Linked DNA regions of Saccharomyces cerevisiae S288C. Changing the gene in region 3 together with the main gene of any one other region gives a genetic interaction. Each region holds a gene or a part of one and is shown on either strand. Other genes may lie near its edges. The genes, in order: HAP5, IMP2, CQD1 and DDL1.

Region 1 (7,139 bases), on a different chromosome or scaffold from region 3:
TGAAACAAATCACTTTGATATCTCTAATTATTAAAGCTGCAGACATCTCTAATGTGACGAGAACCTTGTCAATATCAGCACGTTGGGCATACCTCATTACTCTCGAATTTAATGATTGCGCTCTTTTGGAAACATTTCATAAAGCTCACCGCCCAGAACAAGACTGTTTTGGCGATTCATACAAGAATGTTGATTCTCCGAAAGAAGATTTGGAATCAATTCAAAATATTTTGGTGAACGTAACAGACCCTGATGATATTATCAAAGACCATCCGCATATTCCAAACGGTCAAATATTTTTCATTAATACGTTTGCTGAAGTATTTTTCAACGCATTAAGTCAAAAATTCTCAGGATTAAAATTTTTAAGCGATAATGTCAAAATCAATAAAGAATACTGGATGAAACACAAGAAACCACAATAGCAAGAATATCAAAATTTCTTGTACCATTCATTGTATAAACATATAAATATATACATTTACTACTAGTATATTTCCTTTTGTGAAGTATTTGTGCTAAAATTCATTACCCATTTTATTTTTTTTTCAAATATGCGTTCTTCCTTTAATATTGTATAATAATAACCCAGTTGATTATGGCTATTGTCTGTTTTAAGTGATATATATATATATATATAGATACATACATTAAATTTATTTTTCTTTGATTAAATTAATGTTTTTTAGTATAGTGATACATATTTCCCGAGTTAAAAGTTAAGTAAATAGTTTTATGCCATTAAACGGTGCAAAAACAGGTGTAATCTAAAATATTAAACTCCATAAAAGAAAACGTTAAAATTACAAAATAAATGAAATATGTTCCCTGTGTTGGTATATGCAAAGTAAATAAAAATTAAATCTTTATGCAACGTCAAGACAATCAACTTTATTATGCCAGATTTAATAAGCAGATCTATCAATTAAATCACGTTCTTTGTAATCAATAACGATTCCAAAAGCCTTCAACAATTTTCTCCTTGCACCCAAGGCAAGAACGCCTTTTTTTTCTAAAGTCTCGTCATCTAAGTAAATCAATTCGATCCACGGGGTTCCGCTTAAGGCATCTGAATACTTGTGTAGTCTTAACGATTTTAACCACATGGGTATATTTTTTAGTAGCTTGGGGTCTGTCAAACTCTTTGGATTCATCGAAGAGTTACTCGATAAAGGAGTGTTTCCGTTAGATGATGTAGATGTCGATGTGGCACTTGTAGGACCAGCATTAGGATGCGTAATGGTATTATTGAACACGTTCTGGTTGGACTTATTCAAATCAGTTCCTGATGGTCTTGAAGTATTCGAAAAATATGAGGTGGTATTATGCAGAGGATGATGCAATGAATGATGGTGATGAGAATTGTACTCATTTCCCATGTTAGACCTTTTCTTTGGTTGGAAAAAAGAATGGGAACTTGAGAGAGAGTGAGAAAGATAGTTGGGATTCTCTGATGGCAACTTTTTATATTTGGTACTGTTACCGTTGTTGAATTGTTTCTGGACAGGAATGAGATTTGGGCTTGAATTAACATGAGGCTCAGCCGACTTGGACCTTTGACTAGCGTCGGTGATGTTGTCATATATGGGTTGGCTAATTGGTATTGAATGTGGCTGAGGGGACCAATTTTGATACAACAAGTTATCGGTATTTTCAGGGTCATTAGTTATAGGACTTGAAGAAAAGACTGAATCAATATTCAAAATTTGTGTGTCATCCCTATTAGGTATAGGTGATGCAATTGCAGGTAGCGGTGGGGAGATGAAGGGAGTGTTTGTCAAAGTCTCTATTTTTAACTTAGTATATTTCAAAACATCATCATTCAAAATGGAAAGGATATTGTCCATTACAGTATTTTGTTGGCTGCTGTTCAGCATGGATATCCAAGAACATAATTGGTTGATGTCTTGGCTGAAATTGGTGCCCATGTTCGGATCGTTTTTTTGGGATTGAGACTGTTGTTGCGATTGACGGGATTGCGGCAAAGGAATTGAACCACTCTGCGATGGAATACCCAAAATATTATTTGGAGATCTCTGAAATGAATCCAAATACATAGATGTTGAAGATAAAGTAGATTGCAACGCCTTTGGAGATTGCATCATGGGGGAAACGATAGCAGAACCAGCTGCTGTAGACGAAACTGTTTGAATATTAAGGGAAGGCAACGACGCCTGCTGTTGCTGTTGTTGCTGCTGCTGTTGTTGCTGGAGCGGCTGAGCCCTGGTTCCCGCAGTGTCTAGCATAAAGGATTGCTGATCAAGCATGTCATTGAGTGACATACTATGGGATTGAGGGGACAAAACATTCGCGGTCACGGATGAATTGCCCTGGTTATTGCCAGAATTGCTGCCCGGATTGTTCTTGTTTATGGCAGAAGATTGTGGTGATAGCAAAACGGCGCCTGGATGAGCTCCTCTAGACATGTTATATGGTGACTTGGAACCTGTGGGGAATTCCTCATACGGATGTTTCATGATTTCTTTGCTGACAATTACTTTATATGAACAGTTTTTCTCTTCTGAAAACAATATCTATAGTATATACAGTGATCTAGATTGCCCAAGGGACGAAGTACCAGTGTGACTGCAAAACACAATGTATTCGAGACAATCCTATGGTAGTAGTAGTAGTCGTTGTTAGATATCTCATCGCCAATTTGCTACCAAACTTATTCTGGAAAAAAATAATGAAAAAAATTTGCGTTTTTTCTTTTTCCAACAGATAATTTGCTGTGGTGCACGGTCAAATGGCAGCTGTATAACCATTAACTCTCTCATTGTGGAAGAGGTCTTCTAGGCACAACATCGATGAGAAAGTCAAACATGTCACTCTTTTGCAGGGCCTCTGCGATATCTGCCTTCTGCAAAGTTCGTCTTTTATTCCTTTCTGCCACGCACCAAGCTCTCATAGTCAGTTCTGTAATAAAGATCTCACAGGCTTTGGCGAAAATGATGGGGGCCTCTGCACTAATCATCTTGACATCTTCATCCGTCTTCATGACCTTGCGGATTCTCGCAAATGGTAAGGAATGTGATTTGAAGTCATCTTGATGCTCGGAACCAGGTTCATTCGTAGACTCGATCTCGTTGATTAATTCTTGCCAATAACGGATCATTATCTCCTTGTAGTGGCCCACCAATCCCTGACCAACGTTCCTAAACACATCATACTCTTCATCGTCCTCGTCCATTTCTCCGTCTGCGCCGTCGCTGTTTCCATTATCTTCGCCTTCAAGCGATCCTCGACCACTTGGCGGTAGATTAGCTTGGTCATGGCCCGCCTGGATAGCTTGCAACTCCTGTACCATCCGGAACTCTTCCTCAGAAACAGGTAGCCTCGTATTTTCCCCTTCCCCTTCGTTTTCTTGCAGTTGTTGCTGTTCTGAATATTGCCTTGGCATATTCATTTCCTCTCTCTGAATCATCGTACTGGGTTGCGGTCCCTCCGGGAGCGATTCTTGAGGTCCTTGTCCTTGTTGTGGTGAGAAATTCCTATCAGTCATTATGCGAGTAAACAATCCTGATGCTGCAAATGCGTCACAACTCTTACATTATCTCCTATTCCCCTCTATTCTTCTTCTTTGCTTACGCGGTATTATAGCAGCTAAGGAAGCTTAATCTCCGGAAGCAATCTTAAGGGAGCCGTCCCACGCAAATTTAAGTTTAACTACGGAAAAGGGAGCACAACACTCTTCGATTTTGACATTTCGGGATTTCTACACTCTAGTAAGTATTGCGCTAGGAGGGACCATGATTTACTATGAGGACTTGGCTATGGGGTGCTCAGAATTGCATAAGTGAACTCGAGGATAGCTTTGGGCACTATCACGTACTAAGTGATATGTATTGATATGTAAACCTGCAATGAATGAATGGATTAAAACGGATCTTAATACTGCATAAAAGAGGACGGCAAGAACAGCTGAGAAGCGGTACGCATCTACACAAAGTATGCCAAGAGAATTCAAATCCTTTGGGTCTACAGAAAAGTCTTTGCTGTCAAAAGGACATGGAGAGCCTAGTTACAGCGAAATATACGCTGAGCCTGAGAACTTTTTAGAGATTGAGGTGCACAACCCTAAAACTCATATACCAAATGGGATGGATTCGAAGGGGATGTTTACAGATTACGAAATAATATGCCGTACAAACTTGCCAAGTTTTCACAAGAGGGTATCGAAAGTAAGGAGACGATACTCAGACTTTGAATTCTTCCGCAAATGCTTGATCAAGGAAATTTCTATGCTTAATCACCCAAAAGTCATGGTACCTCATTTACCGGGTAAAATTCTCTTGAGTAATAGATTTAGTAACGAAGTCATTGAAGAGAGGAGACAAGGTTTGAATACCTGGATGCAATCGGTAGCCGGGCACCCGCTTTTACAATCTGGTTCTAAAGTTCTCGTGAGGTTCATTGAAGCTGAAAAGTTTGTCGGCTGAAAAGAACTCTTTTACGTGAATAAATAATATAGATTATATAAAAGAATGAATAGAAAAATTTAAATAAATAATGAATAAAATAATTAAATAAATAATGAATCCTGTGATTAAGTTAGCGTGTACTTTGGTCCATCTCCACCTTCGGGTACTTTCCAAGTAATATCTTGTCTGGGCGCCTTAATATCACAGGTCTTGCAATGGATACAATTTTGTGAATTGATTTGCAGTCTCGTACCCACAGGCGATTTTTCATCTTTGACGAATTCGTAGACACCTGCTGGGCAGAACCTCGATTCAACACCTTTCCAAACGGGAAAGCTTCTCTCGGCGTACTTTACCATATCTTGTCCAGGAACCCTCAAGTGACATGGTTCATCATCATCATGGTAGGTTCCGGTTCTAGACACGGAGGTCAATATATCAAAGGATATCACACCATCAGGCTTGGGGTATTCTATCGGTTTGTACTTGGAAGCAGGTTCCAAAATTTCACCGTCATTTTTTTCATCAAATTTCAGTGTCCACGGAACTTTTCCCTTCAATATCAAAGAATCGATTCCAGAGTAGATCATACCACCATATCCACCAAGTTTCCCGCTGAAGGACGGTCTAATATTACGCACTTCGTATAGTTCCTTATATATCGATGATTCTTTGAATGCACTTTCATATGATTCCAAGTTAATAGTTGCCTCCTTATCAAACATAGCCATTTTGGCGTCTTCGTCTTCAACCTCTTCTAAGACAGGTAACCCTTTTATGGACTCAAAGATACTTTCAGCGGCAAGTAATCCACTCTTCATCGCAGTATGAGTACCCTTGATCTTTGGAACGTTCATGAAACCCGCGCTAGCCCCTACCAAAACACCACCAGGGAAATTCAACTTGGGTACAGATTGCAGTCCACCTTCATTCAATGCTCTTGCAGCATAAGCGATACACTTACCTCCTTCTAAAACTTTTGAATAGTATGGATGATGTTTCATCTTTTGAAACTCTTTGTAAGGTGAAACATAGGGATTCTTATAATCTAACCCCACGACAAGGCCCACAGTGACCAGCCCATCACCAAAATGGTACTGGAAACCACCGCCATAAACATCATTTGTCAACGGGTACCCCATGGTATGAGCTGCAAATCCCTTGTTAAAATTCTCCGGCTTGACTTCCCAAACTTCTTTAATACCTAATCCATAAGTTTGGTGCTGTCTGCCTTTTCTTAAATCATATTTTGCCAAGGCTTGTTTTGTTAAGGAACCATGACAGCCCTCTGCTAATACAGTTTGTCTAGCCCAAAATTCCATCCCACGTTCGAAGGTTTCCTTAGGCTTACCGGACTTCGAAATACCAGCATCTTTAGTAATTACACCCTTAACGGCGTTGTTTTCATCATATATGAGATCCGAGACAGCTATTCCGGGGTAAACTTCAACTCCTACTTCTTCTGCCTTTTCTCCTAAATATCCGACGACTTGGTTCAAAGAGACAATATAATTACGTCCTTTATTGATCATTTGAGATGGTTCTGGAACGCTGATCGCCCATTTCCCCTTTAAAAATTTCAAATGTTCTTTAGTTACCAACGTAGCTAACTCCTTTGGTAACGGAATGCCAATGTCAGACTTTTCATCAGGGAATAGTTCTTTCCACACTCCCGGTTCCAATATAGCGCCGGAAACAGTTTGTCCACCCAATACACTGGATTTTTCAAGAACAACGACACGCAATTGGCCTGTTCCTGACGAATTGTCTAACTGTTTTAATTTGATTGCTGTTGCTAATCCCGCAGGCCCTCCTCCAACTATACAAACATCCACATAGTCGCGCGCCCTTGGTTCATTTAACAACTCTTTCTCTTCTTCAGTAAGATTTGCTTTGTTCAAAAACCTACACGACAAGCTAAACTTTCTCGTCATATCTGTCCCTAGAGCCAAATGACGAGATTTTGCGGAAATCGTCATTCGGATCCCTCTAATTAAGTTCTCGTTAGTGAACTTAATCATTTTCCCTTTCCCAGAGTGGATTTTCCTGTCTAGCTTAAGTTTGTTCTTTTATGTGGCCTGAAGTAACAGTAAGTATATAACGTATTGAATAAATTAATTAAGTGGGGACCACTACTACTCAGTCCGCTTGAAAAAGTTGAATTTTTCAGTTAACCTTTTCTTTTCTACAGTCATGGCAAATCGCGATCCATTGGTAACAAAAAATAAAGCTTCCCGCAAATTTCGGATAAACTAACTGTGGGGTAAATGAAGATCAATCCATATATATCCGGAATAACCGAAAACAGCCAAAAAAAAAAAAATTACTGTCATTAACAGTAAATTAGTCCACCTCTAACGGTTTAGTTGTTTTTCATTTATTTATTTATGGTTGTTTATTTATTTAAATATTGTAGTGAAAGTTAGAACTAGCTAAAAATTGTCCAAATGAGAGGAACACATATTATTAGTTGATAAAAAAAAACAACGACATAGGTGTAGAGCAGCCGTTATGCTCTTGTAAAGGGAGATAAAAATCAATTGAATATATTTTCTAGGTCATCTAATGTGATTGATTCAGGAGATTCAATATCATGTGTCAAAAATCCATTTCTCACAATTTTCATCCAATTCGTAACTTCGTTTCGTGATTCTTGGGAACTTGGGTTTGATTCTCTTCCGTTATCCTGACTGGAATTGATGTCGGATAAAGATT
Region 2 (7,009 bases), on a different chromosome or scaffold from region 3:
AAATTAAGAGTACTAATAATGCTAGTGGCTCTGGGGCAAATCAATACACAACTCTTACTTCACCTTATCCTATGAACGACATTTTGTACAACATGAACAATCCGTTACAATCACCGTCACCTTCATCGGTACCTCAAAATCCGACTATAAATCCTCCCATAAATACAGCAAGTAACGAAACTAATTTATCGCCTCAAACTTCAAATGGTAATGAAACTCTTATATCTCCTCGAGCCCAACAACATACGTCCATTAAAGATAATCGTCTGTCCTTACCTAATGGTGCTAATTCGAATCTTTTCATTGACACTAACCCAAACAATTTGAACGAAAAACTAAGAAATCAATTGAACTCAGATACAAATTCATATTCTAACTCCATTTCTAATTCAAACTCCAATTCTACGGGTAATTTAAATTCCAGTTATTTTAATTCACTGAACATAGACTCCATGCTAGATGATTACGTTTCTAGTGATCTCTTATTGAATGATGATGATGATGACACTAATTTATCACGCCGAAGATTTAGCGACGTTATAACAAACCAATTTCCGTCAATGACAAATTCGAGGAATTCTATTTCTCACTCTTTGGACCTTTGGAACCATCCGAAAATTAATCCAAGCAATAGAAATACAAATCTCAATATCACTACTAATTCTACCTCAAGTTCCAATGCAAGTCCGAATACCACTACTATGAACGCAAATGCAGACTCAAATATTGCTGGCAACCCGAAAAACAATGACGCTACCATAGACAATGAGTTGACACAGATTCTTAACGAATATAATATGAACTTCAACGATAATTTGGGCACATCCACTTCTGGCAAGAACAAATCTGCTTGCCCAAGTTCTTTTGATGCCAATGCTATGACAAAGATAAATCCAAGTCAGCAATTACAGCAACAGCTAAACCGAGTTCAACACAAGCAGCTCACCTCGTCACATAATAACAGTAGCACTAACATGAAATCCTTCAACAGCGATCTTTATTCAAGAAGGCAAAGAGCTTCTTTACCCATAATCGATGATTCACTAAGCTACGACCTGGTTAATAAGCAGGATGAAGACCCCAAGAACGATATGCTGCCGAATTCAAATTTGAGTTCATCTCAACAATTTATCAAACCGTCTATGATTCTTTCAGACAATGCGTCCGTTATTGCGAAAGTGGCGACTACAGGCTTGAGTAATGATATGCCATTTTTGACAGAGGAAGGTGAACAAAATGCTAATTCTACTCCAAATTTCGATCTTTCCATCACTCAAATGAATATGGCTCCATTATCGCCTGCATCATCATCCTCCACGTCTCTTGCAACAAATCATTTCTATCACCATTTCCCACAGCAGGGTCACCATACCATGAACTCTAAAATCGGTTCTTCCCTTCGGAGGCGGAAGTCTGCTGTGCCTTTGATGGGTACGGTGCCGCTTACAAATCAACAAAATAATATAAGCAGTAGTAGTGTCAACTCAACTGGCAATGGTGCTGGGGTTACGAAGGAAAGAAGGCCAAGTTACAGGAGAAAATCAATGACACCGTCCAGAAGATCAAGTGTCGTAATAGAATCAACAAAGGAACTCGAGGAGAAACCGTTCCACTGTCACATTTGTCCCAAGAGCTTTAAGCGCAGCGAACATTTGAAAAGGCATGTGAGATCTGTTCACTCTAACGAACGACCATTTGCTTGTCACATATGCGATAAGAAATTTAGTAGAAGCGATAATTTGTCGCAACACATCAAGACTCATAAAAAACATGGAGACATTTAATAGACCCCATTTTTTTAATTCGATAGATCTTTCTTCATAAGATAATTCTGTTCAATGACTTATGAAGCTTACGGCTTATTGTTATTATTATCATGATTCTTTGCCATTTTTCCGGTACCTTCACATTTTGAAGGAATTCAGTTCCCCCGCCTGTAACAACTTAGATACACGTAGATAAAAATTAATATAGCCAAAATATTTGGTATGATAGGGTATAGTATAATATAATTAATACAATATAATATAATATAGTACAGTACAGTATAATATTGTATAATATCATATGGCACCGTAATATCATATATATATCCGTACAGTTTAATGAATTCCGTGCGCATTATGCTGTGCAATATGCCTGTCAGTTTGAAAATCGAAGATACCACATCGTACAAAAGCAAGAGGGGTGCCCCTAATGGGAGAAGATTACCGTTTTTATTTTGGGGTAGCTAACTGCGCCACAAATAGTATCTACCAGTTTGCTACTTTTAGAACTGTATTATGTATCTTTGCCGAATACTTAATTTCCTAGGCCTCATTTTCAGGACTAAGGATGAAGAGGGGCTTCAATGTTTTATATGGCGCTTTTTCTGTCCATTGTATACGTCAAAAAAGCATAGATACTCCACTTATTAGCGGTAAAGCCCTTTTTGATACATTGTTCCGGCGTTTAAATATTCTCATTATGATATTTCCCCAACAGTTACACTCTGTTATTTCCTTCTTTTTTATGCTTTATCTGTTTTTTCCCTGTTTCGATGCCGTATATCAGAAAACTTAAAGTTACAAGCGAAAACAAAGAAAAGAGAGTTAACTTGAAAGGAGACAAAAGATAAACAGAGCAGTGGACAAACCAGGATTGAAGTCAGCGAGGGTGAAGAAACCATGAACAATATATTTCATGGAACTGAAGATGAATGTGCCAATGAAGACGTTCTTAGTTTCCAAAAAATTTCCTTGAAAAGTCCCTTTGGTAAGAAGAAGAACATATTTAGAAATGTTCAGACCTTCTTTAAGTCAAAAAGCAAACATTCGAATGTCGACGATGATTTAATCAATAAAGAGAATCTTGCCTTTGATAAATCTCCATTGTTAACAAATCACAGGAGTAAGGAAATTGATGGTCCTTCACCGAATATAAAGCAGCTTGGCCATCGCGATGAGTTAGATGAAAATGAAAATGAAAATGATGATATAGTCTTAAGCATGCATTTTGCTTCTCAAACCTTACAAAGTCCAACAAGAAACTCATCAAGAAGATCTTTGACCAATAATAGGGATAATGATCTTTTAAGTAGAATCAAGTATCCTGGCAGTCCCCAGAGGTCGAGCTCTTTTTCAAGGTCAAGGTCCTTGTCGAGAAAGCCAAGCATGAATAGCAGTAGCAATTCAAGCAGGAGGGTGCAACGGCAAGATGGGAAAATTCCGAGGTCATCGAGAAAAAGTTCACAGAAATTTTCTAACATTACTCAGAATACTTTGAACTTCACGTCTGCGTCATCCAGTCCACTAGCTCCTAATTCGGTAGGGGTGAAATGTTTTGAATCATGCCTAGCCAAAACACAGATACCATATTATTATGACGATCGTAACTCAAATGACTTTTTCCCTCGAATTTCTCCAGAAACGTTGAAAAATATTCTGCAGAATAATATGTGCGAGTCATTTTATAATTCATGTCGTATTATAGATTGTCGGTTTGAATACGAATATACTGGCGGCCACATAATAAACTCCGTTAACATACACTCGAGAGATGAGTTAGAGTACGAATTTATCCATAAAGTTTTGCATAGCGATACTAGCAACAACAACACTCTACCAACTCTTTTAATTATCCATTGCGAATTTAGTTCCCACCGGGGACCTTCATTGGCCTCTCATTTGAGAAATTGTGATCGTATAATAAATCAGGATCATTATCCCAAATTATTCTATCCCGACATATTGATATTGGATGGCGGATACAAAGCTGTTTTTGACAATTTTCCTGAACTATGTTATCCACGTCAGTACGTGGGAATGAACTCACAAGAAAATTTGCTGAATTGTGAACAAGAAATGGATAAGTTTAGGAGAGAATCTAAAAGATTTGCTACTAAAAATAATTCTTTTAGAAAACTAGCTTCCCCTTCAAATCCTAACTTCTTTTATAGAGATAGCCATCAATCTTCAACAACAATGGCATCTTCTGCACTATCGTTCAGGTTTGAGCCGCCTCCGAAGCTGTCATTAAACCACAGAAGAGTCTCTAGTGGTTCATCATTAAATTCAAGTGAGAGTACAGGCGACGAAAATTTCTTCCCCATCTTAAGTAAGTCGTCTATGAGTAGTAACAGTAACCTAAGCACTTCACATATGCTACTAATGGACGGACTGGATACCCCATCATATTTTAGTTTCGAAGATGAGAGAGGCAATCATCAGCAAGTAAGTGGAGATGAAGAGCAAGACGGAGATTTTACTTTCGTTGGTTCCGACCGAGAAGATTTACCCAGGCCCGCAAGAAGATCGTTATTCCCTTCTCTAGAGACTGAAGATAAAAAATGATACTACATGTGCATGAAGTATTATGAAAAAAAGAAGTATATATTCAGGAACCGAACGGCAACAACATCAATACATAAATCACAATCATCTATATTTATTGCATTAGATTAATCACATAATATAAAAAATTTGCATTTGAATACCGGGGTCACTTCTAAATTCATAAAAATAAGCTGATTTTCATTCTAAAATGGCTCTTTTGCTAATGCAGTCTCTACCGGTACTCAGTTTGAGATCCGTTCCCCACCTGGAGGGTGGCCAAACAATTGTTATAGCTTTCCCTATGACCAACCCACTGGAAATGGGGCCAAAAGTATTGCTATCAATCGAATGAAAATAATTGTCCCCTTCGACCCATATGTGTCCCCTGGGCAGGTTCACTTGAGGTTTAGGGTATGGAAACTTCGTGTCAATGGTATCAAACGGTAAACCTTTAACCCTTTTGCAGTAAACTTTCCGAGGGTTTGTAGGAGCTTTGAAAAGGATAATGTCATCTCTAGATAAATTACTTGGGTTCTTGACTCCAAACTTCCAAAGCAGCACCCAATCTGTTGCCAGCGTTTCCGTTTGCGGGTTCAGCGTAGGCTGCATAGAGGTACCTTTAACTTGCGCAATATGGACCACATTATTATTGATTGTTAGAAGTACCGGAACCCATGAAATTGCTATTAGTGTGTTTCGTAAGAATCTTTTTGATGATCCGGCTCGAAACATTACTGTACAGTACAATGCAACAGCTTCATGAATAGCAGCACGCCTTCGTTAACAAGCACCCATCTAGTCATTCAATTAAGGCACTTGTTTTTTCCATTTTTTTCAGTAGCTCGGAACTTAGCCTCGCTCTCCTTCCGAGCTTGATCTTCCACAGTATTTCGATGACATTGGTCTACCCGTAAGTCTGAGCTCCAACGAACAGCCAGAAGCTAAGAAAGCATAAAAAAGAACCGAACCACTTTAAAATCTAGCAAATTTTAACCTTCAATTATATAAAGAGAGATTTATAGCTTTTTATTGCCTGAAACCGTCTATGCTACCTGAATCACCTTCGCACCCTTTTCTACGATATATCCCAACTCTGACATAACTTGCAAAAAGAAGGAAGACACACATTTAATACACCTACTTAGTGCCAAATGAAGACTCAGTACTCTCTAATACGAAAAATTTGGGCACATTCAGTAACAGAATTTCTGAAATCCCAGTGGTTTTTCATCTGTTTGGCTATTTTAATCGTTATTGCAAGATTTGCTCCGAATTTTGCAAGAGACGGAGGGTTAATTAAAGGCCAATATAGTATTGGGTACGGCTGCGTCGCCTGGATTTTTCTCCAAAGTGGCCTGGGAATGAAATCAAGGTCACTAATGGCAAATATGTTAAATTGGAGAGCTCATGCCACTATTCTGGTTCTGAGTTTCCTTATTACCTCGTCCATAGTATATGGATTTTGTTGCGCGGTAAAGGCTGCTAATGATCCGAAAATAGATGACTGGGTACTTATCGGTCTAATTTTGACTGCCACTTGTCCAACAACCGTGGCTTCAAACGTTATCATGACTACGAATGCAGGTGGAAATAGCCTTTTGTGCGTTTGTGAAGTATTCATTGGAAATTTGTTGGGTGCGTTTATTACACCTGCATTGGTTCAAATGTTTACTAACCGCGCACCATTTGCATACGGCAACCCTGCCACTGGAAATGGCATTGGTGCGCTTTATGGCCGTGTTATGAAACAGGTTGGTCTCTCTGTATTCGTACCCTTGTTTGTGGGTCAGGTTATTCAAAATTGCTTTCCGAAGGGTACTGCTTATTACCTGGGCTTTTTGAAAAAATACCATATTAAAATTGGATCTTACATGCTTTTATTGATTATGTTTAGTTCATTCTCAACTGCCTTTTATCAGGATGCGTTTACTAGCGTTTCTCATGTTTGCATCATATTTCTCTGCTTTTTTAATTTGGGAATTTATATATTCTTCACGGGTCTGTCATACTTATGTGCAAGGCCATGGTTCATCCTCAAGCTTTTCCCTCATGAACCAATAGAGGGCAAATCTACAAGATTGTACCGCTATTCGTATAATATCTTTAGGCCTTTTTATTATTCAAAGGAAGATGCGATTTGCATTATGTTTTGTGGCCCGGCTAAAACTGCAGCACTGGGTGTATCACTAATTACTTCACAATACGGCGATAAAAAAGAACACCTGGGTAAGTTGTTGGTTCCCTTGGTTTTATATCAAGTTGAGCAAGTCATGACGGCAAATTTCTTTGTAAGCTTGTTCAAAAGATGGATACAAAAGGACGCTCAAGCAGACGGAAGCGAGTCATCTTGTGCAAATGAGAATGAGGAAGTTGATTTGGAAAAGATCATATCAATTGGAACTGGTGAAAATCAATCCGTTCTGTCGAACAACGTCCCATATACACAACCAAGGTGATATTTCCCTTGTTAATTTTGCATGAATTCTATATATTACATAACGTTTATGTATATATTTCCCATCCTCATTGGATGGAAAAAACTAAACAGCACATATTCACACGGATTTTGGATACACGAAGCATCTATCACGTATTCTTAAAATTGCACGTCCCAAAGAGCAGCCGGTCCTTTCATATTATACTTTTCTCTTGTGATATAAAATGTATCTTTAGGATGAGTGAAAATTTGCTTAGAA
Region 3 (8,362 bases):
TCTGTTCACTTCCACCTTCCGTCAGGAACAAGATCGGAATAACCGGTTGCTTTAACGAAAGCATGATGCAAATATCCGGATGAAATGACGAAAAAATGATGTCCCTACCATTCGCATTGTCAAAAACTACTTTTAACACGGTGTCAACCCAATGGTTCATTTCCATCATTATTTGCCCTAACTCTTCCTCTTCTGCCTCATCAAGCATGGGAAACTTACATTCTATGTTAAACCCAACGTTGGCAGGGATTTTCTTGAATAGTTCTTTCAAGGTAACAAATGATGAAGCTATTGAATGTCCTCTAGCGTTTCCCTTAAAATTGTTCTTTTTAAATGTTTTGGTTAGCCTCATTCGATTGTCAGACCAATGAGCATTGTTGGACTTCCCATTCGGGTCGTTGTCGTGTAAATCCCAAGCTCTCCTCAATGTACTAACGTCTGAATCATCTACCGAACGCCCTCTATATTTTTGTAGTGCTGTATCTGCTCCATTTACATGATGAGGTGAGTGACCTGCTCCACGTTGAATGTGCTCTTTATCGGCATTGTTCAAATCTAAAAACTGTTCCAGCGTCAATTCATGCATGGGGATATCGACACCTGTTTCAGCTACGAGAAAATCGTGATATACCACTGGTACGTTATCCTTCGTCAACTGAACATCAAACTCTACATACGATGCTCCCAATGAGGCTGCCATGATGAAAGACTCGACTGTGTTCTCTCCAATTTGTAATGATTTATTAGGATTATTTTTACCCAGGCCTCTATGTCCTATAACACGAGTGGACACTAAGGATTTCCAGTACGTTTCTGTTCTTTCTAAGGGCAGTTGTGGATGTTCAAATGGTGTGATAATAATATATTCAAATTTCAGCGTCCCAAGTATCTCCAGTGTATGATTAGCGATGATGGGGACCGTCACGCTACCATTTAATATACTTCTATTAACTCCCACTGAGCTGTACGACTTATTCAACATGGAAACACCCCTTGCCATTACGTAATTATTGTTATTTTTTTGACAATCTATTCTATTATGGGTCTCCAACGAGCGTGTTCCATATGTTGGCACAATATCAAAATATAATGTATGAGAATAATCAACTTTGAAAGGCACTTTGAAGTCTACTGCGTCCACATTATCATCTAATGGTAAATCTAAGATTACAGAAGATTTATCAATTGAATCATTGCATGAAATTACTAACGATAATGCACAATCTGTTTCCAACCCAATAACTTTTGCTAGTGCTTCCGAGCTTAATGAAATTGAAGGGCTTTTGTTTCTTGTGTCATTACTTCCCAATGTTATTAGTATAAGTGATTCATTATTATCCAGGAATCTGTGTCCATATGACTTTATTGGTCCGGCCAGTTTTCCCAAGGACCCTTTATTACCTCCGTTTCCATTTTCATTTCTCTCATTTAATTCTCCGGCACTAATTTCGTTTAGTGGTTCTTTCTCTTCGCTACCACTGTTCAACTGTGAATGGGGATGCGTGACCAGTTCGTCTCTGATTTGAACCATATCAGCAATGTGCAAATGACCGCGCAATACCGCGTGCTCCATCGGCGTCCACCCACCTTCATCTTCAATATCAAAGTTCGCGTTGTTGGCTATCAAGAGCTTTACAATGTCCGTAAACCCTTCTGCTGCTGCAACGAAGATAGCTGTCCAGCCAAAAAGTTTTTCTCTTATTTCAAGGTCGGCTCCATTGTACAACAAACACACAGCAGCTTCGAAAAAATTTAATCTACAAGCAAGATATAGCGGTGTTTCATGTAATTCGTTGTCTTGATAATTAATATCAAACCTTTTTGATGATAGGAGAACATGTAAAAGGGGATAGTTATTCCACTCAGTGGCCAAATGTAACAAACTTGAACTTTTTAATTTCACGTTCGGATCCAAAGATTGCAATAAGACTTCTGTTGTTTTGGGATGAGCACCCAACACACATAAATGTAAAGGTGTCAATGATTCGGCATCTCCGAACGCGGAAACGTCATCAATAGGGATTTCATTCCAGATATTCCATTCTTTCATTAACTTGATAATCAACTTCGTAACTTCAGATAAGCCATACTGGCAAGAATAATGCAAGGGCGTTCTCTTGTAATTATCATGCTGAAAAAGGCATGGTCTTAAATGAATTGGTAACTCCTCTAAAATATAAGAGAGTGTACAGGCCGAACTTTTTTCCTCCTCTGTAATGCTATCTGATTCTGCCGGGGCAGATAGGGTCGTATGCAGGGTTCTTAAATCTGTTACAATTTCTCCCTCACTATTAGTATATTTTGAGGGTTGTGACTTCTTTTTCCTACTTAAAATTTCCTGTTTTCTGATTAACTTCCCGATTGCAATTATGTGATGATGGAAAAAATTTCTTCTGTTAATATCTTCCGAGTCATTTAGAGACGGAATAACCTTTAAGATAGCATCAATACATGCCAGTGATTTAGACAGTGCTGCCTTGTTTAAAACACTTATCATAATTCTTGTTGGAATCAAAGACAATTCCGAATATAGGTTTGTTAGCTCTCTAATCAATCCTTTGCTATCATCTTCTTCTATAAAAACGCAAATAATCTTAAAGAATTCTGTATTATCATTAGCATTTGCGTTCGGCGAGGTACTCCTCATTACTCTCTCGTAAGAATTTATCCTGAACGTCACTTGTTCCCAGATAGTTTTTAGCAAACTCAAATCTTTGGTAATAAGAGAATCATTAGCAAATTGTAACGGCAAGATTCTAGTTTTCATAGTTGACATTTGCTGATTTGTGCCGACTTTTTTATCCAGTTTCTTTAAAATCTTACCAAAAGCTCTCTTATTTAGTTCAGCGTACCACTTTAAGTTTCTAAATTGTTTTCTTAACTCAGCTAAGATAGACTGAATTTCAATTAAGTCATCTTTATGGTAAGATAGACGGCTGGCTTGACTTGTTCCCTTTAAAAGCATATTCATCTCTCTCGTATCCTTTGTGAGTAAGGTTTGCGCTACTGCATCTTCTTTGTTGGCATCGACCACTAATGTTGATTTTATCTCATTGAATTGATTAGAAGAAAGCAATCTCTCAAATCTTTTCTTATATTCCGCATACTGGGAATTGTAAAATGTATCAACCTTCTCAATATCCCTGTCAACTGCAAAGAAAAACGACGCCAATAACTTTTGGATTTTTGGAGAGTCCAAATAATTTTGAGCACTATTAGATGAATCTCTCATTTTTGTTGGTGGCCTGCCTTCATCATAGCTATTCTTGTTATGTGCCCTATATATGTCTTCTTGAAGTCTTGTAATTTCTTTAATCATTTTCTTCAACGACTTGTAGCCAACATATTGACTTGACCACTCTGGAATGCGATGATTGGCAAAGGTTTTTCCGAACTTCATTGATTATATTGTTTGATTATATAAAGACCTTACAGTTTCAGTAGTTTGTCACCTTAGTTGGAGATAGTGGCTATTTTTGTGTAATTTGATGAGGGTTCCCTTCTTAGTTGGGTTTAAATTTTTTGCTACCGTTGCCTTATTGTTCAATGAAGCACTAATTGCAAAACTTAAACTCTTTAATAGTCTCACTTTGTAAGACAATAATTTATTTTTTACTTCTGTCAGCCAACGCTCTCTTTTTAATATAATGTGCACGTTCTAAAAATAATTCTCTTATTCAGTTGGCGCTATTAAGTGAATTAGAAACGTTTTGACGAAATTTACTATTAAAAGAACACTACGAGTCGATAATGACAGCACTGGTCTAAATTTCAGCTAGAGCAACAGCAAATTATTATTTGTCACTTAAATAAACTTGGTCGTTTTTTTGGAGAGCTAATATGTTGGGACAGCGTGTGTAACATTGCTCCACCTGCGAACACGTGGAAGTCGCAATTATAAAAGATGCATAAAAAGAAAGAATATTAATAATTAGGACACAATTGATCAGTCCTGACAAGATCGTATATTTGCTTCATCGAGAGATGCATTAATTGACGCACTTCTAAACCAACCCATATCTTGAGCATTGATAATGTGCTTGCATCTTTCAAGAGACTTTTGGCTTCCCGCTTAAACCCGAATTCACGTAATATAGGCAGCGAACTGTTTACGAAGAGAAGTTACAAGATGTGGGTATTTTTGTTAGTAAAAGAATTTCTTTAGTAGCAATAAAAAGCAAAAAAAAGCAATAGAAAAGGGTTTTAAAAAATTGATGTTATTCTTTAAAACCGTTAATCCATGCGTAAAATACGAACCTTTCAAATAAGTCCAAGTTTGGATCTAACTGGCGTCCAATACCCTCTAGAAGTAAAATAGCGACCACCACGGAAACAAAGTCGGACTCCATTCTAACATGGTGCGACCTTACCATACTAAGCATTTGATCGAGTAAATCGCCAATTGAGACGGTTCCCAATGTAAATGTTCTTTGTTTAACTTTATCCACTAGCTTTTCTACCTTAAACGCAAATACTTCCTTATCAATAGCTGTTTCTGGAGTTCTTGATCTCTCAATCATCAACTCACCAGCTCTATAACCATCAAATCGGGCCAATGCGTTGAATAGAGCTATGAAATTAATTCTGTTTTTTTCATTCAATTCTGTAATTATTCCTGTATCGATAAAACAAATTTGGGGAGTGTAATTAGTTAATACAGACTTCAGTTTTCCAACAAAGTCCTGATCTTGGTCCTCCTCTATCTTCTTCCTCAGGTCGTGCGTTATTCTGTACGATTCAAGTTCGGAGGATATAATGTTTGTGCCGTATTTGTTCGTCTTCACAAATCTGATTATAACATTGCCTGGATGCAAATCAGCATGAACAAAATCATCAAGAATTAGCATTTGTAGAAACGCGTCAACGAAGGGATCACTGACTTTTTTACAAAGTTCAACGTCGTTAATTTGCTTCTTCGTAGATAAAAACTTTTCCATGGAAAGACCATATACATGCTCTTCGAACATAACATCCCTATTTGACAAGGGGAGAAATGGTTTAGGAAATTTCACCTGAATAGAATTTTTAAAGTTCTCATTGAATCTTTCCAGGTTTAACGCCTCAATTCTTAGATCCAACTGAATATTCATTAATATGGAAAACTGATCGACTTCGCTGGGTAAAGACAGCCATTCCATAGTCGGAATCCAATTTATTGCGTCAGCACAGAATTTCATTATTTTCAAATCTCTCCGGATCTGAGATCTTACATTTGGATGCAAGATCTTGATGGCACACCAACGATTTCCATCCTTACCAATTTGTATATTGTCATATTTATCGATGTACTTTTGGGATAGTTCACCCACGTAAACTTGTGCGATGGACCCAACTCCAATTGGTGTTCGATTAAATTCATCAAAAGCATCTTCGATCTTGTCAACCTTTAATGCTTGAGAAAGTTTTTCCAGAGTAAAGCTTAGAGAGTGAGCTGTAACGTTACTATGCAATTTACCCAACTCATGACACAGTGCGTGAGAGAATATATCGGTTCTCGATCCTGCCCATTGTCCGAGTTTAATGAAACTCGGGCCAGCCAATTCCAATGCTTTACGCAGTAGTTGACACCAAATCAATGAACCTCGAGTTTCAGTTATATTGGTGTCCGTAATTTTGAGTTTATGACCAAACCATGATATGGGGTATAATAGGAGAAGAGGTAAAAAAATAGCTGAAATTTCTAAAAACCTTAAAATCGTGCATACAGGCTCAACAATATTATCATTAAAACCGAACCAAAAGATTCTTAGATATCTTATTAATTTATTTCGTGATTCAGTGATCTTAGCAGACCTGAAAGATTTAAGCTTTTCCTGCAATTCGTTTTCTGAGGAAACGTAGAGGCCCATTTCAAAAGTATCACCTTTGGGATCCGGTTTTAGAGAATCATTGTATATCAAACAATTTTGTTTTGGAAACGAATTTTGTGTCAAATAAAAAGCAATTGACGTAGGTATTATGAACTGTCTTATAGGTATTTTATGAAAATGCCGTGTGGACTTGCTATAGTATCGCCAAGAGTTTCTATAAGCGAACTTTAAAAATGACATTGCCCAGATGGTTCTGATGTTCTTTATCTCTATTCTGTGAGGGTTTGATATTGATGAGTAGGTAGAAGATATGGTATAAGGTATTTTCTATAACATCAAACATCTTTTCTTTTTCATCAAATGAGTGAAAAGGTATTATTGCCCCTCATATATTCGGGGTTATTTATTTTTCGTTGCTTGAAGTAAAGCCTTTAATACACACTTAGTATTTAAACACTTAAGATTTACGAATCACAGATTCTAAATTTGTATTTAATAAATTGATTCTAAGTACAGGAAGTATCAAGGGGGGGGGTTGACAGATAGAATCACACCTTGATTAATTTAGTTCCTGATGAACAAGCCAACTTGACCAATCAAACCCTTTCGCGGCACTTTTTCTCTTAGCTCTGCTTGATACATCGACTGGGAACTTCTTCTCTTTGAGCCAACTAACCTCAATCCCTTAAAGATTTTGTAAACCGCAGAAACACCTGGTTGTTTTCGCTTGTTGGCAAAGGTTAATAACACAGTAACTTTCAATCTTGTTCCGAAGTGCAGAGTGCAGTTCCCTGTGTGTTCAAGTGACATACGGCATTTGAATACACTACACTTATCGTCATGTCAAAACAAGTGTTATAGAAGCAGCGTTAATATAATATTAGTACCTGTACAGTTTTAAACTCAATTGAGTGCAAAGATCTGATGCATCCCATTTTAGTTTCTCATAAATTATTGCTTTGGTTCATAGTTCAATTGTAAGCATTATTAAAACAACTGCTTCTATTTAGACAATACAAGAACGCGATCTTTCCAGTAACTGCCTAATCTGAAATTATGTTTTTCAGTTGCGCCTGTGGCCTACACAACTTGCATAATAAGCAGTTAAAAATAACTCCTAATCTTACTAATCTTGTCGAACTAGACTAGCTGTAATGATCTGTCATATATAAGTTAATATTCAACATCGACTGTAATTGTCAATTCAATCTTGACAGCAACGATTGAAGTCATCGCCTCGCCGTAATTGAAAAAAAAATGTAAGATGAATAACAGCTAAGAAAGATAATAATTTTTATGAAAGAAGCATCTGATAGAGAAGAAGCACCAAAAATGGTGGAAAAAAACTATAGTACAGGTTTTAGGAAAGCCCACGGAGAGAAGGATCAATCAGTGACTAAGCCAATCTCGTTAGATGGTAGAACAGGTGAAGTAATTGTTAGAAAATCCACCGGGAAAACTAAAATACGTAAAGGTCAAACGGAAGAAGAGTATACACAGCAATTGCAGCACTACTTCGAAGTAGAACAAGGCCCTGTGCGGACAAAGGTAGGATGGATGGATGAGGTAGATCCCTTGGTTGAGATCCGGGAAGGCAAGTACGATATCTCCAATAAGCATCAGCGACAGGTGCTTAGTGGTTTCTGCCATCGTTTATTTTACCAATGTAAGTACAAGGAGTGTCTGGATCTCAGCACCTATTTTCTGGGGCTCTTTGAACCGTTCAACGTGAAGAATAAAATGAAGAGGGAGCTTGAAGAGTTGGAATATATGATCGAGCGATGTCGTGGGCATGTATTATAAGCCCGAATCAGATACTCAAATTTGAAAAAAGATATCTTTCTCCTCCGACATGGCCGAACTCATTTACATAAATAGCATAAATTAAACAGAATAATAATACGTAAATTACAACAGTCAGAGGGTGCATGAAACCGTCATTAGATAGAGACGTGATCAAAAGTAGAAAATGATAAGAAATCAGGGATGGTCATTACTTTACAGAATTTATCCGGTGCGGAGGTTCACAAGATACTCCAGAGTAGATATGACTTTTGAAGGAAACACTCAAGATATCTCTACTTCTGTCGAAGAAAGAATGACCACTGTTTTTGGAGGACGCTTAAAGGGTGAACCACCAAGATCCACAAGTAGAGTGCTTAGCGGCGGAACGAAGAAAATAGCAGGTGTCCAAGTGCCTGCAAAACCACAAGAACCCGATAACTGTTGCATGTCAGGTTGCGTTAACTGTGTCTGGGAGATATATAGCGAGGATTTAAGAGACTGGAAACATAGAAGGAAAGAGGCTGCGGAAAAGATCGCAGGAACTAAGGAGAAGTGGCCTAAAGACTGGAATCCACCTTTGGGATTGTTACATATGGAAAATGTCCCTGTTGAGTTACGTGAAAAGAAGCTGGAAACCGATAGCAAAAAAGCAGAACAACCTCATGATTTATCTGCTATCAGAAGTTTGTTCCCTAAAAGAAAAGGGCCTCTGCCCAAGAGTGTATTGGCAGCCAAGAGGAAAAATATTGCTTTGAGACACAATTACG
Region 4 (8,182 bases), on a different chromosome or scaffold from region 3:
TGGAACGATAGATTTAGCAGACTTCAAAAGGGTGGACATTCTTTTTTTTCTGTAGATTCAATATATTTTCGATCAATGGCTTCTATCAGAAATTATTTTAAACCTAGCACATAATAAGTTTGTACTGTATAAGCGTTTTGACTAATTTTATACATAATCAAGCTTCTTTTTCCCATTCCTTCAAGATTCTAGAAATTTCTATCATTGATGACGGGCATTACCCCGTTAATGACCTTCACACGAATGAGAATTGGGCGGCTAATGAGAGAACTTCGAGAGGTGCAATAAGTGAGAAATAACAACTTTAGAACTCATTATGATTGCTTCCAATACCTAATCCTACGTATGTACTAAATTAAAAAGACAGACATGCATTATTGAATATTGACATTTTGAGAGTAACTTTTTATTATGAGTGGCATAATAAGATAATCGACGCAAGCCACAATTTATACAATAAAAAATGCTACCATCGCTGCTACATATGAACGAAAATAATACAACTATCGTTACGGCCTTTGCTGAACCGTAATAAAATAAAATTCCTTGTTACATTTTTTTAGCCAGCTGCCTCAGAAAGAGGCGTTTACTATTTAATGGAGAAAGAAAGCAAAGAAAAATAAAAGGTATTTTCTTTACGGAAAGCCTTCGAGCAATCCAGGAGAAAGTGGACCTTTTTTTCCCAATGAAGAGATCATAGGAGTATGGATTGAAAATATAATAGAACTTCGGGTAACGAGGTGTAATTTCACAGTCCATAATACAGAGCTAACGGTTTAAGGGTAAATAGTTATCTAAGTCAAGTTTTGAAGGAACAAGTAAGAAAGGTCGCTACTGTTTCTAAACATAAGATATACAAAAATAAATATAGCTATCTCAATGGGTGCTGCATACAAAGTATTTGGGAAGACGGTTCAACCTCACGTATTGGCTATATCTACGTTTATCGCTACTGCTGCAGTGGCATCTTACTTTACCACGAAACCAAAAACCAAAAATGAAGGCAAGAATAGTTCTGCCTTGAGCCAACAAAAAAGCGGTGAAAGTTCAAACTCAGATGCTATGGGAAAGGACGATGATGTCGTAAAGAGTATTGAAGGATTTTTAAATGATTTAGAGAAAGATACGAGGCAGGATACGAAAGCCAACTGATTATGTATAAAAATTTCTGAAATGGTGGTGTTCTTCATCGTTCAGTGAAGGGATGCACTGATTTCTATAAACTTGAAGCACTTTTTGAAACTACTGTTCTATAACGAAAATTAGCGTCCTTCTTTCTATTAAGTATGCATTATACATATAATTCAATATATTCTGAATAGCAAAACGGCAATGAAAAAAAAAAAACACTGAAAATACTTGCCTTAGGCCATTGTGCATGATACGAATATGCACAAAACTTGCCTCTTTTTACTTTACGGATCAATGACAACACTCAGGTGTAAGTGATAGTTGATGGCCTTTCAATATTTGAAAGGCTGGAAGATAATTATAAAAAATCGAACTAATTGCCTATGATTGTTTCATTACTGAGACTATTTTTTCACCTCAAGGGGGTCGTCTGAATTAGCAAAGCCATGGCAACTAGTGCAGTGCTTGAAGTCACCAGCTCGTTTGGTTTTAGATGCAAGTAATGTAAAGAAATTAATTTAAATAAAATAATAAAAGTTTCTACTTTTTTTTTCAATTAAAAAGCATAATACAACCAATCAATTTTATCCTATTTGGCCTGACAATGATGATATCATAAAAGTAAACGGTTCCTTGTTTTTATTTTTCTTGCATGCACTTTTCAGAAGTCTTGGTAGCGCTACTAACGCAAAATACGAAATATTCATTGGCTAATAAACTTGATTTTTTCATTGAATGTCGTTTTTGAACTATATACAATATAATTAATGCTACGACCCTAAACTTTTCAACTAACTCTTTGACAAGGAAGCATCATCACTTATTACAACCATAGAATGTTACTTAAAGGACTGTTCTCATCTACATCAACAGATCGTCCAAACTTTGAGCAGAATCCTTCTTGATCAAATCCAACATCCCTTCAGGCAAAATAGGTTTACCTTCTTTATCTAAAACGTATCTAAATGGCATTTCCGTGGCCTCATTTTTATTGAACCTAAATTCAGGGTAGTCAATGAACTTGATGTCTTCAAATGCAATCCTGTCTTTGATAATCAACTGTGTTGTTCTTATGGCAGTATCCGTAGTCATTTGTTTATCACCTAGTCTTCTGCTAATTAAAAGATTCGGATAGGCAGTCTTTAGTTCTTTGGTACGATCTCTTGGAGGATGATCACCCAATATGCCACCAAATACGAAATAGTCGAATTTCGTAGCATCCTCCGGCTGTAAATCGATTGTAGCCCTAGGGTCCAATAGACAGACTCTGCCATCTTTTAACAGTTCCAAATCCTTGAAATCTTCGTTAATGCCCTTCAAATCCTTTGTAGTCCATCTTAAACCAAGTTTTAGTAGCCTTTGAGGGATGTCCTTTTCCGTGGTACTCTCTGGTAACGATGATAAAATCAAGTTTTCAGCTCCTACTTCTCTCAGGATTTGGCTATACTCTAAAATGACCCATTCACTAAACCCTTCCTCCATATGCTCAATAATGTACTTCATCGTATATCTAGAAATAATCTCCACAGCTGTATCAATCTATATTAACAATAGATATGCCCCTCAACATCTAATAAGCAAAGGGCATTGCTCTTTTACAATACTCGATGAGCTTACCGAAAATTTCTAATCCAAAATAACGGAAAAAATTGAAAAGGTGTCAATCCTGTTACCCGCAAGTTGAAGTACGGAAAGAATACAACCTTACACAGTGGAACTATAATAGACAGTAAAGAAAAAAGTTAAAAAAAACTTGTGCCTTGCGTTTACTGATCAACCAGTCTTTCTTTTTACATATATTTCTGATGCATTTTCATGTTTACTTAAAATTTCTTTTAGGATAAACGCTGCAATATCCGGTTCTTCGAAATAAGAAACATGTGATTTTATAGCTGATATAAAATCCACTTCTAGCAGACTTGGAGACATAGCATAATCTAGACGTCCGGTGTAATTCAAACCTGTAAGCATTCTCGTAAGATTTTCTGATAACTTGACCTCTTTTTTTTCTGGAGAAGTTTTTTTGGACTGCAAATTATTTTCATCAGTACCTGGCAAATCTTTCCATATGTTTTCGCCAAATTCCAAAACTTTAGAAGTTAGTCCATAAGCTTCACTACAATGTGGTAAATAAGTTTGTTCGTAATGAGCCATTTCTTTACTAACAAGAGGTTCCATCCTATAAGAAATGGGATCACAGACGTGGTAAACATTATAAATGTCCTTACATTGCGGTCTCTGTACGGTTAATTTTCTCTCCAAGTCATTGGGAAATTCGGGACGGTCACCAATTTTTGTTCTTTGAATTAACTTTAACAATCCAATTGGTGAGCCAATAAAGAACAGGTTGTCTACTTGAAATTCTAATTCATATTTTTTTTGTTTGGATAGAATATCAAATAATATCATACTACCCAACGAATGGCCCACTAAATGGACTTTCCCATCAAACTCTGGATTAAATTCTTTAAAAATCCGATATGTTTTGTTCAATTGAGAGGTTACTTGTTGTAGAATCATATCTTGGTAGTATGGTTCGACATACAACAAAATATCTAGTAGACCGTCAGCCAGTAGCTTCCTCAAGGGTAACACTCCATTTACTGTGACTTGTGACAAAGTCGGTAGGTCAGGATTTTCTATATTTTCCTCCTTAGCATCCGTTTGGAAACTTATCGAGTGCCTCCAGGTGATGGGTAGCACTTGAACGTTACAGTTGCTTTTATAATCAGGTGCTGTGTTTAATGATTGTAGTTTCTCAGAATTATTGTAGATTTTTTTCATATTAGACCTAAGTAGATTTACCGTGTGTGCGAAATTTACGTATTCGTACTTCTTACCCAAAGTCTGACCTATACCGTGAACGCATAGTATCAAGTTATCCACATCTCTTCTGTTACTTCTAATTTGTCTATCGCTTGCGCCCGAATTTTTGCCATCTTCTATTTTGCTACTAGCATTAGCGCCTTGACTGTTATCTGCATTGTTATAGTCTGTTTCCATTTGCTTTTCCAAGCTCTGTGCATCATCTTGATCTTTACTAGCATTACCATTGAACAACTGTAAAAAGTCCGATAAATTGAAGAGGTTTGAAACTTTCTTTTCTAACTTTGTTTCAATGCTCCTCGATTTGGAACTGTTACTACCATCTGCTACTTCCGTTTGAGGCGTTTTTGCTGCCTTAAAAGATGTGGATGTCTGTTTAGTAGTTGCGGAGGATGAATATTTGTATGATCTTGTAATCATTGTAGCATTAATCGGTAAGGATTGAGCCAGATTAGACCTTAGAAAGGCTAATTGCAGTTTTCCTCCATCTAAATCCGATAGTAAAAATGCAGTTTGTTTATTGGCAAACAAAATAAACTTGAAAGTAGATTCGTTCTCATCTTTATTGCTGGATCCATTTTTTTGCTCTCCTTCGTTTTCTTTATCGACTGGGTATTTACCTTTGAGCCTAAATATATCTTGCGATTCTGCAGGAGGTGTCGTGGTCGGATCATCATTACTGTCGTCGAATTTGAGCTGCTTATACAACCCTTCAATTTCGGAGGTAAGATCACTGGACAAAGGTTGATTTGAAGAGTCGAACCACACACCTCTTCGTACTTGATAAGTAGGGCCTTCCCAATAGGTAGGGGACAATTCCATGTGAGAGAGGTCGACTTTAAACAGGTAATCTTCGTTGACTAAAACAGGCCTGCGTTCTTGACGCTTACTGGCCTTTTCCAAACGATTAGAATCATCAACGGAGAACGGCTTAAACTTTTTGGGTGAGTGTAAAGTTTGATATGTGGGTAAATAGGGTTTGGAGTTGGGTACGTCTATGGCATAGAACCATGGTACATAAATGTGATTTAACCTTACGAAAATGTTTCTAAAACGAGTGCTGGAGGGAAGGCCTCGATGAGTAAACCGTAGCATTTCAAGTAATTGTTCACTGTGAGTATATTCAGTGATCTTCAATATTAGGGAATATGCAAAAAAATACAATCCACTTTTTCTTCCAAAGCGACAAATTAGGTCAGAAAACCAACAGAATATTATATTACGTAATTTACTTATTTATATGTGTGTACTATGTATGAGAACCACGCAGTCTTGATTTCGACCTTAGATTGTAATAAGATGATGATTTTGCTGCAGGATCAGGACCCTCAAGTTCATTAGTCAAAAGGGCCGCTTTTCTTGGTTTCTTGTCAGTGGGATTTGCTCTCAACCTTTCTCTTAAAGGTAAATCTTCCATGGGAGTAGAGCTATTCAAGCTCAGTTTTCTCTTACGCAGCAATTTTCTTTGTAAGGAGGAGGATAGCACTGGCGGAGAGGGTGGGTCCGTAGTCGTTGTTGTTGTAGCCGTTGCTGAGAGAGACGGTGATGGGACGTAAGAAGCTTCGTCATCAGATTTGGAAGATTCCTCTTCTTGCTCCTTTTGATATCTTAATTGAATTTCACGTTGCTTCAAATATTCATTCAAATCATCCGGAGTTTCATTAACCATGTCAATCAGTTTTTTGAAGTCTTCTTTATTTTGGTATAGTTTTTCTAAATGAGGAGTGTTCTTGACAGTCTTTGGAGCCCGCGTATGGTTCTCGGAGTGGTTGATTGGTGATTGTGGTTTTGGGATTGCAATGTCAGAGGGTAGGTAGTCTTTGTTTGGGTCCAAATTTAGTTTCTTGAACTTAGATAAAATTTCCGGATCCTGCTTATCATTAGGAAGTAGTTTTTGGTTGTTTAAAACTGCCAATGGTTGGCTTGAATATAGTTTAGAATGTTTTAGTCGAGTATGGTTCACGATACCTTGCGCGGAAGTGAAACCGGAACGGTCACATTTGGAGCACGTAATTATAACCAAAATGCCGTCATATCTTCTAAAAATGGGCTCATTATTTTCAGTCTTACCGATGATACCGCTATTGCTCGTCAAACAAGTGCTACTGTAATTACGTCTGTGGTTAAGATGCATCTGACTTGGTTTAAAAGGGAGTATCTGGAACCCCGGCTGCTCGTCTAAGGGGGAGATTGAGGAGGAACGAGGTGAAGAAATGCCATCCGAATTAGAGTGAGGAAGCGAGACGGGAGTGGGCTTGGTTATGGCTTCTGATAGAGATTTAGAACCTGTTAGCCTGTAATCAATTATATTCGAATTTGCCGGACGGAGGGCAGAAGGTTCTAGCAAAAGCCCGTTACTCTTGCTTCTAGTATGATAATGGTGGTGTGGTATGCGTGTTGTTGACAGATTTCTGTTGCTGCTCGAAGACAAAGGCTGACAGTTGATGTTATAATCCGATAGAACCGGGTATGACAGGTTATAATTTGATGCGTTCGTATTTTCCGTAGCCGTACTGTCGTGAAAGTGGCCGCCGAGCACGCTATGCTGCTGATGTTGTTTTATTTTGAGTTGATACGTCCGTTCGATTTTGTTCAATAGACCAGTATCCTTATGCAGGGTTTCCAAGAGAGCTAGTTTTGCGTTAACCTTTTGAACATTTCTTCGTAAGTGCCTAACATGCTTGTGGTTTAGCATTATATGTAGGTTCAAAACATTCTGTATTTCCCCTTTGGCACATTCGTACTTCAACCGCTGGGTATTTTCGCTATCCTTGTCCGGATTACTGGTGGCGGTGTCCATTTTGAAGGGCTCATCCATGTTGTTTTCCAAATCCTGAGGAGACTTTGGCGTGGTAACCTGATAAACGTTCGTCATCTTAGAGGATGACGATGAGGAAGAATTAGGATTATGATGCTGGTGCTGCAGTTTATCTTGGGCGGGACTCATCATGAGGAGATGGACATATACACAAAGTGTTGGATGAGAAGCGTGAGCCCGAAGAGTAGTGAAATGCCGAAGATCAGGGTGTTTATATGAACGAACACTAGCTTACAAATGTGGAAACGGGATCCTTCAGAGGTAAAATGCGCCTTCAGTGGCCAAAGTTCATCACCTTCCTTAGCACGGGTTCTTGCTGTCTGCTCTTCCTGCTTCTTCCCTGTTCGTTTTTCCCTCTTCCTACGGCTATGCACAGTGGCAAATGCACTGCATGTGTTTCTGTGGCGGGTATCCCTCAATTGCGGGTAACAATAAGTAACTCAACATCACGAACGACGTTTATGTTTGCTGTTACCACAAAGGGTAAAACGTCAATAAAAGCAAGCAATGTTATTCGTGCCAGAGAACTATATCTGGCGTACGTCTTATATATAACACAAGCAAGGGCAAATACGTGGTTAGTGGTGTAAAAACTGAAGGGATTAATTTACATACAACTAGATCCATCTTTCTCAAAAATGACTTCAGTATCGCCCTCGCCACCTGCCAGTCGATCGGGCTCAATGTGCTCCGACTTACCGTCCTCTTTGCAGACTGAGAAACTGGCACATATTATAGGTCTTGATGCCGACGATGAAGTTCTCCGGCGCGTAACCAAGCAGTTGAGCAGATCTAGGAGAATTGCTTGTCTGACTGGGGCAGGCATTTCGTGCAACGCGGGCATTCCTGACTTTCGCTCTTCTGATGGGCTCTACGACCTAGTGAAAAAGGATTGTTCACAGTATTGGTCTATCAAGTCCGGCAGGGAAATGTTTGATATTTCGCTATTTAGAGATGACTTCAAAATATCCATTTTTGCTAAATTTATGGAGAGGCTCTATTCAAATGTTCAATTGGCAAAGCCGACTAAGACGCACAAGTTCATTGCGCATCTAAAAGATAGGAACAAACTGCTGCGCTGTTACACGCAAAACATCGATGGGCTCGAAGAAAGCATAGGACTTACTTTATCAAATAGGAAATTACCGCTTACCTCATTTAGTTCACATTGGAAAAATCTGGATGTCGTTCAGTTGCACGGCGACCTGAAAACTCTTTCGTGTACAAAGTGCTTCCAGACTTTTCCCTGGAGCAGGTACTGGTCTCGTTGTCTAAGAAGAGGTGAGTTACCATTGTGTCCGGATTGCGAAGCACTTATCAACAAGAGATTGAATGAAGGAAAGCGAACTCTTGGTTCTAATGTGGGTATTCTAAGACCTAATATCGTCCTGTATGGTGAAAACCATC

The links.
Region 1: mutations in CQD1 (region 3) and HAP5 together harm fitness more than expected from each alone (negative genetic interaction), as found in Saccharomyces cerevisiae (2 studies listed by BioGRID).
Region 2: mutations in CQD1 (region 3) and IMP2 together harm fitness more than expected from each alone (negative genetic interaction), as found in Saccharomyces cerevisiae (2 studies listed by BioGRID).
Region 4: mutations in CQD1 (region 3) and DDL1 together harm fitness more than expected from each alone (negative genetic interaction), as found in Saccharomyces cerevisiae (2 studies listed by BioGRID).

The regions. Positions count from the first base shown.
Region 1 is NC_001147.6:1,006,527-1,013,665, reverse strand, and holds HAP5 (Hap5p), read right to left. Parts: upstream 3,506-7,139; coding exon 2,777-3,505; downstream 1-2,776. Other genes in the region: 3',5'-cyclic-nucleotide phosphodiesterase PDE2, read left to right, coding at 1-425; VTS1 (Vts1p), read right to left, coding at 906-2,477; SNX3 (Snx3p), read left to right, coding at 3,954-4,442; CIR2 (electron-transferring-flavoprotein dehydrogenase), read right to left, coding at 4,550-6,445; GDS1 (Gds1p), read right to left, coding at 6,961-7,139. UniProt on the Saccharomyces cerevisiae protein: Acts a component of the CCAT-binding factor, which is a transcriptional activator and binds to the upstream activation site (UAS2) of the CYC1 gene and other genes involved in mitochondrial electron transport and activates their expression.
Region 2 is NC_001145.3:339,178-346,186, reverse strand, and holds IMP2 (endopeptidase catalytic subunit), read right to left. Parts: upstream 5,046-7,009; coding exon 4,512-5,045; downstream 1-4,511. Other genes in the region: stress-responsive transcriptional activator MSN2, read left to right, coding at 1-1,784; putative tyrosine protein phosphatase MIH1, read left to right, coding at 2,667-4,331; RCH1 (Rch1p), read left to right, coding at 5,465-6,769; ARP9 (Arp9p), read right to left, coding at 6,910-7,009. UniProt on the Saccharomyces cerevisiae protein: Catalytic component of the mitochondrial inner membrane peptidase (IMP) complex. IMP catalyzes the removal of signal peptides required for the targeting of proteins from the mitochondrial matrix, across the inner membrane, into the inter-membrane space.
Region 3 is NC_001148.4:341,340-349,701, forward strand, and holds CQD1 (Cqd1p), read right to left. Parts: upstream 6,051-8,362; coding exon 4,258-6,050; intron 4,106-4,257; coding exon 3,925-4,105; downstream 1-3,924. Other genes in the region: GDE1 (glycerophosphocholine phosphodiesterase), read right to left, coding at 1-3,400; YPL108W (uncharacterized protein), read left to right, coding at 7,107-7,613; DPC25 (Dpc25p), read left to right, coding at 7,780-8,362.
Region 4 is NC_001147.6:370,806-378,987, forward strand, and holds DDL1 (putative carboxylic ester hydrolase), read right to left. Parts: upstream 5,053-8,182; coding exon 2,905-5,052; downstream 1-2,904. Other genes in the region: HSP10 (Hsp10p), read right to left, coding at 1-39; MCO10 (Mco10p), read left to right, coding at 880-1,152; protein-arginine N-methyltransferase SFM1, read right to left, coding at 1,993-2,634; AHC1 (Ahc1p), read right to left, coding at 5,207-6,907; NAD-dependent histone deacetylase HST3, read left to right, coding at 7,414-8,182. UniProt on the Saccharomyces cerevisiae protein: Probable phospholipase that hydrolyzes phosphatidic acid.